Linked DNA regions of Struthio camelus. The main gene of each other region encodes a partner of the protein of the gene in region 2 in a complex. Links are inferred from orthologs where the notes say so. Each region holds a gene or a part of one and is shown on either strand. Other genes may lie near its edges.

Region 1 (7,342 bases), on a different chromosome or scaffold from region 2:
GAAGCCTCAACATTCCTAACTAGTTCCAAGAATACTTTTCCATACTCTCAACATTTAAAACAAGAAAGTATTAGAAGAATCATTGATTTCAGTAGTATCCCGCTTAAAGAGACATTCATAACCTTCTGCGTTGCCTAAGATACATTTGCATACTAGGGAAGCAACACCAAAAGTTACTACTTACCATTGAGGGCAAAGAGGGCTATCTCACATTTCCCTGTTCTTTCATTCCCTAGCTTATTTCTCCCTTTAAGTATGAAAACCAGTGAAGCTGGTTACTTTTCAGTTACATAAAATACTTACTGCAAAGTAAGTCTTACTGTAAGATGTTTACTAAAGTATGACACATTTCTTCAAACCTAGGTCCAGATTTTGAAGGTCAGCAATAGAAAGGCTTCCATATGTTCACGAAGTAATCAAACTCCTAACCACACATTCAACTAAACTACTCAACTCCAAATCATGCACTATTTTTGCAACAGCGGCCATCTATGATTTTAGCCACTATGCAAGCTCAAATTTAAGCTTAGAAGTGTGAGCCACCTAAGAGTAAAAGCATAAAAAGGGTATTATTTAAATACATTTGAAAATAACCAAGCATAGCTTATATTTCCTTCATGTTTGATCTATGGCAGAACTGTCAACAACAGGTCAGTTAAACTGTCTTAAGCATTGCCTTGTCTTCTACTTTTACTGGGTCAGCACAAATACGTCACTCCAGGTTAAACCTGATTTGGGAACTAATCCTACTGGAAAATGGTGTAGCAAAATAAACTGCTTATTTTTGTCTAAATTAGGCCCCAGATCTAGCCCAACATACGACCACACAAACATGCAAAAACAATGGAGAGAACAGTGTGGGGACAGGCGTATGCCAGCACTGCAGCCAAGAGAGCCACAGAAACATGCCTTTAGTATTGTTTCAATTTCTAGTGGCTATCAATATTACAAATAACTTATCACAACACCTGCCAAGCCCCATGACAGTCACAAAACACACGAGACATGAAGCTCTCTCCTTCAAAAGCATGGGCTTAGGCTTGGAAAGATCAGTTATCAGAAGTAAAAATAAGTGTTTGAGACTGTGGCTGAAGAACATGGGAAGGCTGCTGCTGGTGCTCCAGCTCGCTAACAATCGATTTTCTTCTACTTCAGAACCACTAGTCAAGGAATTCATAACTGATGACCAACGTTGGTCTTTCTTGTAAGTAAAGGTTTTTTTTTTGTTGTTCAGGAAAGAAAACTGTATGACCAGCATCCCTTAAGACTGTCTCCCTGGCAAACTAAGATGTCTGTATTTAAAAACAGCAAACTGATTCTTGTAGTTAAGTATTTCTATCTAAAGGCCTCTCCAAAGCATGCACTGGCTATTTAGGCACTGTAGGTGAGAAGCAGGAACAAGTCACCCATCCTTAAATCTCTCATTTTCTCCAAACACTAGCACAAGGTCTTCCACACTCTGTTCCCCATGATACACGAATGTGTACAATTAGATTGACAGTTACCAGACCGTGTCCAGCTCTGCTTCAATTCTTTAGGGGAAGTGCAGGTTGGGACAGTAATTATGAAACACTGTGTAGTTTTATGAACACAACTTCACACACAGAGAGGGAAGAAAATGTTTAATAATTAAACACTTTACAGAAATTAGCCTACAGAAAGTTCCAACAAAAATACGATCTTAGACCAGAAAGGTGACATCAGATGATAAAAGGGAATAGTGTTTGCATCACATCTTGAATCTGAGCAGCAACATCGCTTTTTCGGTTGCCTAAATCTAGAGCAGCATAACTACTCAGTTTGAGACACTCACCCCACCCCAGGTTAGCGACTGCGTATCGCCTAAGCACAAGGCATCTTTCACCACTAGCTTTGAAATACTACGGCAGCCTTGGAACTGAACCTTTGCTACTCCTACATGGCCGTGAGGGTGCACGCACGCATCCTGGCGAGGGACGGGCGATCGCTGAAGTGACAGGAAAAGTCCTAACTCGCCGGCTCCTTGCGGCAGAAAGCAACATGGCCACCCCCACCCCGCCACATGAGCGGAGCGCGGCCGAGGGCCGCCCGCCAGGCTCCGCGGGGGCCGTTCGCCGCCGCTGCTGCTGCCGCCGCCCGCCCGGGCTGGCTGCTCCTCCTCTCCTCACCTTCCGCCCCCCCCCTCCCCCCCGCCTCGGGAGGGCGGCAAGGTCACAGCCGGCGGGGAGCCGCGGGGCCGCCCCCGCCGCGACACAATGGGCGCCACGGCGGCAGCCAGCACCGCTACCCGCAGGCCGCGCGCCCGCCCGCCCTGCCCCCCTCACCCCCCAACCCCACCCCAACGGTCGGTTCGTTTCTTCCACGCGCCGGTGACGGCACAGACGCAACGGTGCGGGCGGCGCGCGCGCGCAGGGCCTCGGCCTATCCCTCCCTCCCTCCCTCCCTCCCCGCCGCGCAGGCCGGCGCCGCGCCTCGTCTCCCTCTCCCCCTCCCCCCCGCCCCGTCCCCGTGCGTGCGCTCCTCGCCGGCCCCATCGCCATCGCCATCGCCCCGGCGCCGCCCCCCCGCCCCCGCCCTCTCCCCCTTCCCCGCTGCCGCGCCCGCCGGGGCCGCGGGAGCCGCAGCGCGGGCAAGGGGAGGCGGAGGAAGGAGAGAGAAAGGCGGGCGGGAGAAGGGAATGAAACACTCACCGGTTCCACAGTCGCCATCTTAGATCGATCTGATCGCACCAGCGCTGCGGGGAGGGGAAGGGGCGGATTAAAAAAAAAACAGGTTCAAACCCGGTTGGCTGGCCCGCGGTCACGTGAGCCAGGCGGCCGTTTGGGACGGGGGAGGGGAGGCTCCGGCGTTCGGGCCGCCGGGAGGGCGGCGCGCGGGACGCGGCGCCTGCTGGGAGCTGTAGGCGCCGAGCGCGGAGGAGGCCGGGAGCCGCTCGCCCTCCCTCTGGCCGGCGAGCCGCAGTCACATGGGGGAGGAAGAGGCGGGCGCTGACCCCTAGCGGCCGCGCCGGGGCGCTGCGCGGGGCGCCGCCCGCGCGCACAATGCGCCGCGCGGCGCCGTCCCGTGATGCTGCGGGGCGGCGCGGGGGGCGGCCGTTGGCCGCGGCGCGCGAGCCCTGTCTGTAAAATAACGGTGGCCTCGCCCCGGCTCGGCGCCGAGCGTTTGGCAGCGGTCGGCAGGTAGCGTGGGACAGCGCTGCTCTACCGGGCCAGCTCGGCCTGCCCCTCACCCGGGCGGGGGAGGGGGGTGCTGGCAAAGGTGTCCGCATCGCAAATAAAAACTTCCACCCGCCTACAGAAATAATCTACCAGCAATGCAACATTGAATGCTTTTCCGGAATCAGAGATTAGCTGGGTTTCTGTTATTCACAACGTGTACTTCAAAGGGTTTCGGGGCAAGGTTTTTCTCCTGCAGTAACTACGGATTTTTACTGGATTTCTGAAGGGCACCTTGCAATATGTGTCTGATGGCCTGAGGATACAACATACAAATTCTCAAAAGCATTTCAAGTACATTGAAGAATGGGATGCGATTGTATTTTTCTACTTTAGATAGGCAACTAAGTAGGATCTGCAATCCAGTTACCAGTGGCATCTTCTGTACTTGCTTTGTATGGCAAAAGAGGAAGGCCACAACCCTGCAAATTTCAAGTGCACCATTAAGTTGTCTCTCATTGTGCCATAAACAATGCAATTAAATCATACCCGCAACACAGGAAAACTGTGGGCTCTTACTGTGAGGTCCAGACTGATTATTTGATTGAATTTAATCAAGAGTTCCTCAAATCCTATTTTTACAGCATCCAAAATGCAACAGTCTTCGTGTTTTGCTTCCCCAAGGTCAGTTTTTGAATCAGTTTCTACTCACTGCAATGGCATCAAATTTCTTCTCCTCAAAGGGAAACAAAAGCTAAGAAAAACTCAGTTTATTGAATATAACTGGGCCCATTCATGTTTTGCTGATAGAGTGCCTCTCATTCATAAAAGGAACAAAACGTCTGTTGTTCAAGCCAGGTGGTCACATGCTGGCCGATGTGAAAAACCAAGTCCAATTTTGACAACATCAGTCATGATTCTCAGATTGACGCAAACACGTTACTCCGATGGGCATTGCATTTTTGCAATCTCGTCTGTTCCTATTTGCTCAGAATTTTGAGTGGTGGGGTCCTGTCAGAGGAAAAAAGGACACAGCTGGAAAGGTTGTCATTTTAAAACCAAGAAGTCTTAACACCAGGCACCTTGCCTCCACTGTTTTAGCCGACTCAGTCCCATTCTACTGCCAGTTAGAATTATATTTCTGACCATAATTAGAGGAGTTGCAGCAGCTCCGTTTCCCCCACCCCTTGACCCTTGATTAAATAAATTACGAGTGCTGAGAAATTTAATCCAGCCATGGGAGAAGGAAACTAGTGCTTTGCTCTGTGGAAATAGCAGGGTGTAGGACATCAAGCACCAAATGAGACCTACCACAGATCAGATTTTTTAGTTCTGCAGGAAATCAGGAGGCTTTAAAAGATACCTAAATGGCCACAGCATTCCTATCTTACAAGACAGATCTAAAAATTAAATGGAACTATTTTAAGAAATAAGATCCCCAGATAGTACCGGTGGAGCTCATATTTTAGACTGCTATTCATGTGCCAAGGTGACACCTCATCAGATGAACAGGAGAGATACAGCAGCATGAGAGGGATGGTGATACAACTGAGCTCTACGTTTATCCCATGGGAAACGGCCGAATTCCTTTTGAGCACGGAGGCAATTTGTCCAGAGAAAGGCACTTACTTCATTCTCCTTTTGAAATGTTCCTGTCACACACAGTCTGGTGTAAGATCTGCAAGTATCCATTCCTTTTCATCTGCTAAAGAGCTAGGTAGCAGGTAGGGTGTTTTCAGGCTTTGACAGTGAGTTGCGCATTCATGCAGCATCCCCTTTCCTGGGTGACCTAGAAATGGAGGTACAACTACAGGGACAGAAGGATGGTTAAGCATGGTGGTTCACCCTAGAAATCAACCTTTTAGAGCTCTGTCCCTTGAAATCACTTTTTCCAGCCAGGATGGTATTGCTCATCTCACAACAGAAGGGAAATCAAAAATTACAGTCCTGAGAAGAAGTTAAGGGAGGAGACAGAGTGACTGAGATGCACTTTTTCGGTACTAAGGCTTAATGGAAATTTATTTACCTCCGGTATTTATGGAGGATGTTTGAAAGAGGCGAGAGAAACAGCAGTTTAGGGAAGCAATGGGTGACCGGGAAAAAAATGTACCAGACACTTTATATAGGGTTCTGTGGCTGGCGGAGTGGAAAAGCATGCATTCCTTTATCTGCTCCAAGAATATGAGTTACCCCTTGGAAATCCAACTAGACTGTATCAACCATCTCACTCTTTTCCACATGCACGTTGACTCTTCAGGGAATTTAGTAAGTTTGTAAGGCAGAATTTCCCTCTATAAAAGTCATGTTGACTCTTCCAAGTAGATCATATTTATCTAGGTGTCTACTGATTCTGTTCCCTATCATAGTTTCTACTGACCTGCAGAGGAGAGAGCAAGCTTCCTGGCCTGTCAGGCCCCCTATCTTCCATGGGACTCCTCCTAGAAGTTGATATTACATTTGGTATCCTGTAGACACCAGGTATCGGTGCAGCTTTAAAACTGTGGTTATGCACACCTGCTAGCAATTTCAGTTTCCTCCTTGAATACTGTGGGTGAATACTATCTGGTCCTCAAGATTTCTTACTGTTCATTTTATCAAGTTTCTTCCATTCTCTCTTCCAAAATCCCTTCAATTTGCAGGATATCCACTGGTGATTGCAGTTTCTTCCACAGTGAAAACTGACTCAAATGATTTATTAAACTTCTCTTCAAGGGCCTTGTGTTCTTTGAGTACTCCTGTTAATACTACGGTTATCAATTGCTCCAACAGACTTCTGGAAGGCTTCCTGTTGCTGAGAGAATCAAAGAAAAATCTATTATTAGTTTTGATTCTTTTTTGGGGGGACAATCTTATTGTTTTCTTATATTCAATCTGCAGGGATTTATGTTTCTACTTTGTTTCATTTGAATATTACTTCACCCTTCTCGGGCCCTCCTTAATAATCCAAGTGTGTGTATAGACCTTATGTTTCTAATAGGTGTATCTTAAAATAGCTTCCATGCTGCCTGTAAGGATTTAATTATTTAGCTGCACCTTTTTGTCCCTTTTTAACAAACTGCCTTATTTTTATACAGTTCCACTCTTTGAGTCAAAATTTGGTGAATTTTTTGGCTGTTGGTGATCCTGTAATGCATCAAAGTATGTTATGGTCATTGCTCAGAGACTGGCTCTCCAAATATATGAGTTTTTAAACCAGATCCCAACTACTACTCAGGATGAAGTCAAAGGCTGTCTTCTCATGGACTTTCTAACTAGTTGTTCCATGAAAGAGGCACTATTTATGTCTAAAAGGCCAGTCTCTGTGATACATCTAGATGTAACACTTGTACAGGCTACATACAAGCAATGAAGACTACTGTTACTTTTGTATTTCCCGCCCTTGCTGACCTCCTTGATCTTCCTTAGAATTTCACTATCAGTAAAGTAGACCAAATATTGGGTTGGTTCGTTAATTATGGAACAGGTCAGTACTTATTCACTATACTCCTCTATAATCTCCCTGTTTAGGCCTGTCATGTTAACCTATGCAGATATTATTTGACTTCTAGTAATAAGTTGGTTAATTGGACTTGATTTGATTTACAGAGCGGCTTTTCCAAACACAAACTGTTTTTTACGGGAAGGTGGACTTCCTGTTACTCTGAAATCCAGACAACAGAGACAAAAATGCATGAAACAATAAATCCCATAGGGGCAGTGATCTTGTGAGACTGATACTGGAAGAATGCTGGTACATGAATAAAGCTGCTTTCCACTACATTTGTTTGTAGATCACTGAATGGCCACTGGTTATAACCAAAATGTATTGGAACAGCAAATTTTCTGCAGTATTTTTTTTGTGCTATGGAATTCATTTTAGTGTTAGAATTTGGTATTTATTTAATAAAGGGAGAGCGTTCAATGAAGTAATGTTTTATCAGCCACCCTACCTGTTTAAAGAAAAACACAACAAAAATATATTCAAGGTCCTCAACTTTTATACTACTGTTTCAAAGAAATAAATACTGAAAACAATTTCACAATAAAAGAACTGGGACACATTTTCCCAGTGATACCACAGAAATTAAGTATTTGTTCCTTCCCTTCTCCTTATGCTGTCTAACGTTAAATCGTGTTATGCTGACAAAATAACAATATAAACTATTAAATCTGCACTTTCAGAAGGTATGTCCATACATTCAGAGCATTTTTTTGTTCTGTGACATGCT
Region 2 (7,245 bases):
CATGTGACCCTGAAACAGCAATAAAAATATTTGTGCATTAAAGCTAATAAGGGTGATAAAAGATGTATGTATTGATGCTACTTCCTGACAATGCATTGCTGGAGGGATGTAACTGTTTGGGGCAAGGCGGGCTATATCTTGCAATGCTAAATCCCTAATAGGGTGCTGTCTGCCTTGATAATGGCTTGTAGAGGATAGAAATTTAAAGAATGCTTTTAAAGACTGTACTGAACTCTGATGCAGTTGTAATGATGAGCTGCGTAACAAACATGCCATAGTCTTCTGTGCGGATTTCTTGCATGATCAAAATGCATATAATTTCTGATAGGGTCAAGGAGGGATTTGTACTCATTCATGCCTGTCAGGGAGTTGGGTGAGTGGGCTCTGGTGTGGTTGGCAGCTCAGCATGCAGGTTATTGGAAAGTGGAGCAGCGGGACATGGGCTCATTGTACAGACAGAGAGAGTTAAAGCCTTCAGAGTTGGCAGGGGGCAACAGAAGGTATTGAACAAAAGGATGGCATATGTTCTAGCATTGGAAAGCAGAACCAGGAAACTTATATCCGTTTGAAATGATGGCATGCAGCACTAGGAAGGAAATCAAAAGATAGCTGCACATCTCATCATGCACTGATGGGTGTTTACAAATGTGCAACATGCTTGCTATTGGCAGCTGTGCTACTGGTGACCTACGTGCTCTCAGGGTCAGAAATCTTTTCTTTTTGTGGGGTTAGAGATAGATGTGGGCAACCAGATCACTTTTTATTTGCATAAGGCCTTCTGAAGCAGAAAGCTCTTGGCTGTAGTCTGTTGTTGGAAGGAGTTACTAGTATTTGTCATAAGCTGGCTAGGCTTCCTGCCATGGGCAGGTTTTCACTTTCTGAGCTGTCTGCTCATTGAGACCTCTTTTAGACAGTTGCTGCTTGCTACTTGGTCTCTTCTGCTTAAACTCTCCACAACCTGTGCCCTGTACACATGTGTTTATCTCTTCTTGAGAGCTGCAACAAGTTTTCTTATAGGTAGTGTGGGAACGTGTAATGTTTTTGTGGTCTTGCTGTGCTTTAAACCATTGGCCGCGTCTGATACAAAATGAAGTCTGTGCTGACATCTTCAGCCAAAATCCTGTCCAGCCCTTCACAGCATGGACAGGTGACTGACACGTTGCCAGAGGTATGGCTTTTGTTTTTAACTAATTTATAGTTTTAACTATTTTCTTTGTTTGCAGCACTGCATGGTTTACAATTCTTGGGCTCACTGCAGCCCTAGCTGATCATGGCTTCATGAATGCCTTTCTGTACTGGATCATGGCAGTTTTACCTCCTGTGGTGTTTTACCTCCTTTATGAGGATGAGAAGATCTCTGTTGAATTAACAGGTAAAGTATCGATAAGCTTCATCACTAAAATATCTGAGTGGAAAGATGCGAAACCGAGACAGTACATAAGCATTTTACACATAGCAAACAGCTAGTGGCAGGGCCTTAAGATTCCTGTGGAAGCTCTTCTTTCATAGACTTTGCTAAATACTGTAAAGTGCAAATAAAGAAATCAAAATGGAATCGAAATAACTGGAATTCGGGAAACAGTCTTGTGGGTGTCTGTATCTACCGTAGATACCCCTGAACAGAGGCAGAGAATTGGATCAAGCTTGATACCACCGTATCATATGATATTCATCTGGTTTAGGTGTAGGGTACACAAATTGTCAACAGCATGATACGTTAGTGCTGTAGATCTCACTATAGATAACTGACAGGTATGGGCTCAAATACCAGGTTGAAATAAATATTTTACCACCCAGAAAGGGCTGTTGAGTTTCTAATTCTAGCTGTTGGCTTCATGAAAACGACAGCCATCTTCCAGTGGATAAAGGGTCAGTTAATGGCTTGGTCAGGATGTATAGAAACTTACATCTTTAACTAGGCGCGGAAGAGGTTCACATTCAATTAAGCAAGAGTGTGATTAAGAGCATTCAAAGTCAGGCCCAGAAGAAGGAAAATGTAACGGCAGAAATGGGTCATGGAGATCTCTATATCTTAGCTCCTTTAATCCAGTACTGTCATCCCATTATTTAAATTGCACAAAAGTGGAGTGAGCAGGGAGTTGTGGGGCATTTCAGAATTGAATCTGGCAGCTGAAATGCTGTGAAGACTCTTTCCAAATTAATTCTGAAAAGCATACCTTGCTGTTACGAGAGAACATACACATCCAGTTCTTGTAATGTGATTGTCCTCTAATCCCGATACCAAACAACCGAAAAGCAACACAAGTCTTGACTAGCTGCTTAATTACCATCAGTATTTTTAATCTGACCTTATGGGTAGCTATAAATTTTGAGTACAGGATTGTCCGAAAGGGTAGATTGCCCCAGTAGAGGGCAGTAGCTCCTACACCCACTCTGTTTCTTTAGCAGGAACATGGCAAGACCCTGAAGCATCGGGCGGTTGTACGAGAAGTTGTTATTGTTAGGGCAGTATGGTGCTGCTTGGCAGGGTCTGGCTTTTGTGCGAAGCAGCACTCCTGGCACCAGATGACTTTTTGTAAGCACGGAAGCTCCAGTGGCAGTCTTGCACAGGAGCACTAAGGAGAAACGCTGGTGGGGCCAAGCTGCTGCTGTTCAGATTTTCTGGCTCTGATTGGAGCAGCTCCTTGATTGGGCCTTGCAGAAATTTGGTGTGCTTCCAGCCTCCCTTGGGGCTCTGTTGTGGCTTGATAACTAAGGCCTTGCTGCTGATCTAGGCCAAGTGGTTGCATTAAGACAAGGCTGTTGTGAGTTTGCACTAATCCAGGACTAGCAAACATGCACGATCCTGTCTTACGAAGGCGAGTTAGTCTTCATGAGTTACTCTTCACTTTAGTAACTTGATTGCCCCAAGCGCTGTTTGTGGAAGAGAGCGTAAGAGGGATTGCACCTGGACAGTGTCAGCTGTCATTTTAGAAAGCTGAAGAATCCCGTTGTGGTAGCCTTTCCTAGTTTTCGCTTGACCTGGATTTAGAGGCTTGGATGATAAGGAACTGTGATAGATGGAATTTATTCATTTGATATATGTACTCAAAATATACTATTGTATGTGCACAAGCAGTCAGAGAAGAATAAGCAGCGACATCCTAGAAGAGAAACTGTTTCATATACCAATGGACAATATTGCAGCACTGGAAAAAATATGACTGTGAAGGTAAGTCTGCAATACGATGAAATAGTAACAACAACAACCTTTTGAAATGGTGTATAATTTCTCCCCAAGATGCTGAAATTCTTGATGGTGTGGAATGGATAGAATAGATGGATAAAACAGTACTTGAAGTCATGAGGATTAGTGTGTTTAGCAACTTATCTCCACTTCCCAAAGGCTTTCTTGTAGGTGCTTGTACAAAAAGGCTATTTAAGGAAACTTAAAACAGTGGAAATTTGAAAAAAACAAAGATCAAGGAAAGGAATAATTATTCTGTTCTCAGCACAAAAAGCATTAACAGCACAGTATCTCACCAGCAGCTCTTGAAAACAGAGATGAGAAAATCGCTTGCTGCAGCAAAACTGTGCAGGTTGCTAATGAGTAAGGGAGGATTTTCAAAAGCAGATAAAATGTGGGATGCAACTTGAAGTAGTGAAATACAAGAAAAGGGGCTTTGAGGAGATTTCCAAACAATTCTGTTTGTTCTATGTTCGGAACTGACTGTAATCCCTAGATATAGTAGAGAGGTGTGTTCTGTCTGCTGTAGGATAGTGGACAGAAAGACCAGTTTTGGTGACCAACTTGGGAAGAAATTTCTTTTTGTGGTACAGTGTCAAGTAGATGAATCTTAAAATTGGAGAAATAGGACAAAAACAGAGTGTGAAATGAAAACGTGCAACAGCTAAGTACTTTCTAAAGTAGACAAGCATATACACGCTACTGTTTTACAGAACAATGACATTTGGAGGTGGTTGAGAGCAAAACTGGCCTTTTTGCTTTTCTGCTTTCAGTTTCAATTAACAGTGGCATTCCAGGTAGGAGCAAGGCCCACGCGAGCACCACCTAGAGGTAGTATTTCCAAGGGTTTTCTCTTGAAACCCTTGTGGTTAAGACTAGCCTCGGATCCTTGATGCGGGGGCTCGTTCCCTCCCGTCAAGTGAGGAAAATGTCGCCGCGGCCCGCGACTTTCACGCTCGGCGGCGTCATGTCCCGGGCGTCCCTGTGGCGCCCCGCACCGTGCTGAACGGCCGCGGGCCGGCCGGGCGCAGCTTGGTCCCTCTGCGGAATGAGCCTCTCTGGGGCTGACGCGCAGCTGTGAGAGAGTCGTGCTCTGCTTGTGTCTGTATGGGTAGCTAACGTCTAAGGCTGCTTGCCTTATGTTGGGGGGTGGGGGGGGGGGAGAGCAGTCGCTCCTCGGCGGCCGCGGAGCCCCGGCAGCCGCCCGGCACCTGCAGCGCTGCGCGGGGAGGCGGCGGGAGGCGGGGCCCGGCCCGGGCGGGGAGGGAGCGGGGGGCGGCAGGTTTGGGATGGGGCGGCGGGAGGAGGAGCTGGAGCGGCAGGAAGGGTGTTTCCCTGCGTAGTTCCCAGCCGAAGTGACTCAGACAGGAAACTGCCAGCCAGGCGCGGCCGGGGGAGAGGAGCCGCCGGGCCGACGCGAGCCCCGGCGGCGGCGAGCCGAGCCGAGCCGAGCCCCCCCCCCCCACCCCCCTCCTCCAGCCCTCCGCCCCCGGCGGCGGGCGACCCTCGCGGGAGCCGCCGGCCAGCGGGTGAGCGGCGCTTGCCCGGCTCGGCGCGACGCGGGGGCTGCGGGGCGGGGGGGGGGGGGTCAGGCCTCCGCGGCTTGGGGCGCCGCTTCGCCTCCCGCCTCGCCCTGCGCCGTTCTCGGCGGCCGCGGGGCTCAGGCCGCGGCGCCCCGGGGGGCTGCGCGGGCCGGGCCGGGTTGGGTTGGGCCGCCCTGCCCTGCCCTGTGCCGGCCGCCAGCGCCGGGCGCCCGCGGGGCGGCAGGCGGGGGGTGGGCTCTGCGTGGAGCCGCCTCGGTGTTGTTGCCTGCCCGCGCCTGTCCGCAGAAACGTTTGGTTTTCTCCGGATGCTGAAATTTAAGTCAGTTCGTGCCGCAGGCTGCGTTGCGCGGTGCGCTTGTCTACGCGCGCGCGTGTGTGTAAATACATACATATATACGCGCAGCCCGAGCGAGGCCCGTCAGGTGCGGGCAAGCTGGGGCAGGTAGCTGGTGGCAGGGCGCGGGGGAGAAGATGCGGTGCCCTGCCGGGTAACTGCCAGCCTGCGGCGGGCGGGCGGGCGGGCGGGCTGCCGCTTCTGGGGTAGGCCAGAAAGCGTATGAATCCTCCCAGGTGATTAATTGGAGAGCGGTTTTAAGTGTGTCGCTTATGGGGGGAGGGGGGGTTTCGTTGTCCCCTCTCGCATGGAGTCCGTGTGTCTGTTTGCGGTGCTGGGATAGTTAGAGCTTTGCTTCCGATGCTGTCCGGTGTTGGGGAGCAGATGAGGTGGGAAATAGTAAGTCAGAAACGGCGTGCAAATCCATCCCCTCTTTCAGTTGAAAGAGATGATTGAGCATCTGTCTGAATTCCCAGAGTAGGATTTTGAGGAACTTGAGTTTTCTCTAATCAAGATAATTACGTTGTAGTGAGAGTTGCAGCGTCTGTTCATAATTCCCTACTAGGCATCGTGGTAACCGTGCACCTTCTGTATATGTCTACGATGTGCGAACGGATTCATGCCGAAATGGATTTCATATACTTCTCTAGTTCATCAGGAAGTCTGTTAATAGTTTTTACCTTTCTAGTTCTCATTGCCTTATTTTTTCTTCCTGTACCATCTGATGATAGGTGTGAGTAGTGTTTAGACATGCAAATTGTTATTTGTGTCAGGAAGACAGACTATATGGAGGAGGTAGTCTTTGAGGAATGTAGTGAATCAACCTGAAGTGGTTGCTGAAGCGCATACATTGGAGGGGAGAGGAAAGTTGTCCAGAAGAATTTCTCTTTAATTAGAAGGTCAGACAACACTTTACCATAAACTGCGGGAGATGTAAAGTTTAGACTCTCTAGTAAGCATCCCTAGTCCTTATTGCATTTCACTTACTTATTTGCCAAAGCTTTATTACAGCAAATTTACTGAAAACTCATGCGTTTAGTGTCATTGGTTAATGTATTTTTTTAGATGGGAACTTCTAATAATACCATGACGTACTTTCTTGATCTTTGTTTTATATTGGTATTAATTGCATGTTTACAAACTGTTTTATGCTCAGGCGGAGAATCTCTGAGCTCTGTGCTTGAACTTGTGTTCTTAGTCCTCACAGCGGTTGTTCTGTCTGGTTCTTGGATTTATCCAACTCCTACTTCTGCGCTTTTTAAAACTGCTTTTGTTTTTTTTTTAACACAGAGTTCCTCCTGACCTAATCTAAAAGGCTCTTTCAGCATTCGCAATTAACTTGCCTGTGAACTTTAGCTGGAATAGGCAGCCGTTATTTCCTTAGCTGCCAGGAAGGAGGAGGTATTTGGAACCAGCCTTTGGAAAACTTGGGGTACAGTATGAAACAGTAATGTTTCTTTGCAAAAGCAACTTGCTTGAATTTTTTTTTCTGTCAGGACAATGATGTGGTTGATAGAATACCTCAGTTGTATTTTGTGGTTTCCAGGTTGTTACGCCTAGATTATTGTTATTCTTATTTAGAAGGAAGAAAAAGCCTGGAGTCTTAAGAAAAACAAACAGACAAGGATCCTGTGCTGAAGATGAGTAAGACCTTGTGCATTTTGTTCGCTGACCTTGGGTCTGGTGAATTCCTGCTGAGGGTTATGATCACGAGAGAGAATAGAGAAGTAGTGTTTGAAATGCGTGGAGCAGAGTTAATGTAAAATTTCTGGGGTTTAAATATTGCAATATCTCCTAAGTGGATACTGCTACATAAATTGCAAAAAAATCTACGTTAAAAGAAAGTGAATGTTCCACAAACAGTCCATACTTTTCATTTCTTAACTCTTTGACTGACTTTAAAAAAACTTGTAGTTCTTTAGGGTACTTATGTATGTTTTGTTATGAACACCTTTGATTTTTTTTTTTTTTCCTTCAGTTTTCTCAGGGTGGAAATGTTCCCCCTGGCTTGAACCCACAAACTTTCTTGACCCACTATACAGTCCTTAAAATATAAGTAAAGAACGAGCAGATACCTATTCCAGCTGTGTGTTTTATATTGGAAGTTTGTCTGATATCCACCTTAGTTTAATGAATGCTTTGTTTATTCCTTCTGAGAGAGAGAAGGCTTGGAAGGTGAC

The links. Proteins that work in one complex are often made in the same cells at the same time.
Region 1: CYFIP1 (region 2) and EIF4E share a complex: the UniProt entries of both Homo sapiens proteins name them as parts of the CYFIP1-EIF4E-FMR1 complex. The link is inferred for Struthio camelus from reciprocal best matches to the Homo sapiens genes CYFIP1 and EIF4E.

What each region holds. Positions count from the first base shown.
Region 1 is NC_090945.1:28,151,074-28,158,415, reverse strand, and holds the start of EIF4E (eukaryotic translation initiation factor 4E), read right to left. Parts: upstream 3,051-7,342; 5' UTR 2,688-3,050; coding exon 2,670-2,687; intron 1-2,669. UniProt on the Homo sapiens protein: Acts in the cytoplasm to initiate and regulate protein synthesis and is required in the nucleus for export of a subset of mRNAs from the nucleus to the cytoplasm which promotes processes such as RNA capping, processing and splicing.
Region 2 is NC_090942.1:148,825,731-148,832,975, forward strand, and holds the start of CYFIP1 (cytoplasmic FMR1-interacting protein 1), read left to right. Parts: upstream 1-4,220; 5' UTR 4,221-4,235; coding exon 4,236-4,264; intron 4,265-4,504; exon of another isoform or gene 4,505-4,716; intron 4,717-4,958; exon of another isoform or gene 4,959-5,036; coding exon of another isoform or gene 5,037-5,050; intron 5,051-6,355; exon of another isoform or gene 6,356-6,497; intron 6,498-7,245. UniProt on the Homo sapiens protein: Component of the CYFIP1-EIF4E-FMR1 complex which binds to the mRNA cap and mediates translational repression. In the CYFIP1-EIF4E-FMR1 complex this subunit is an adapter between EIF4E and FMR1.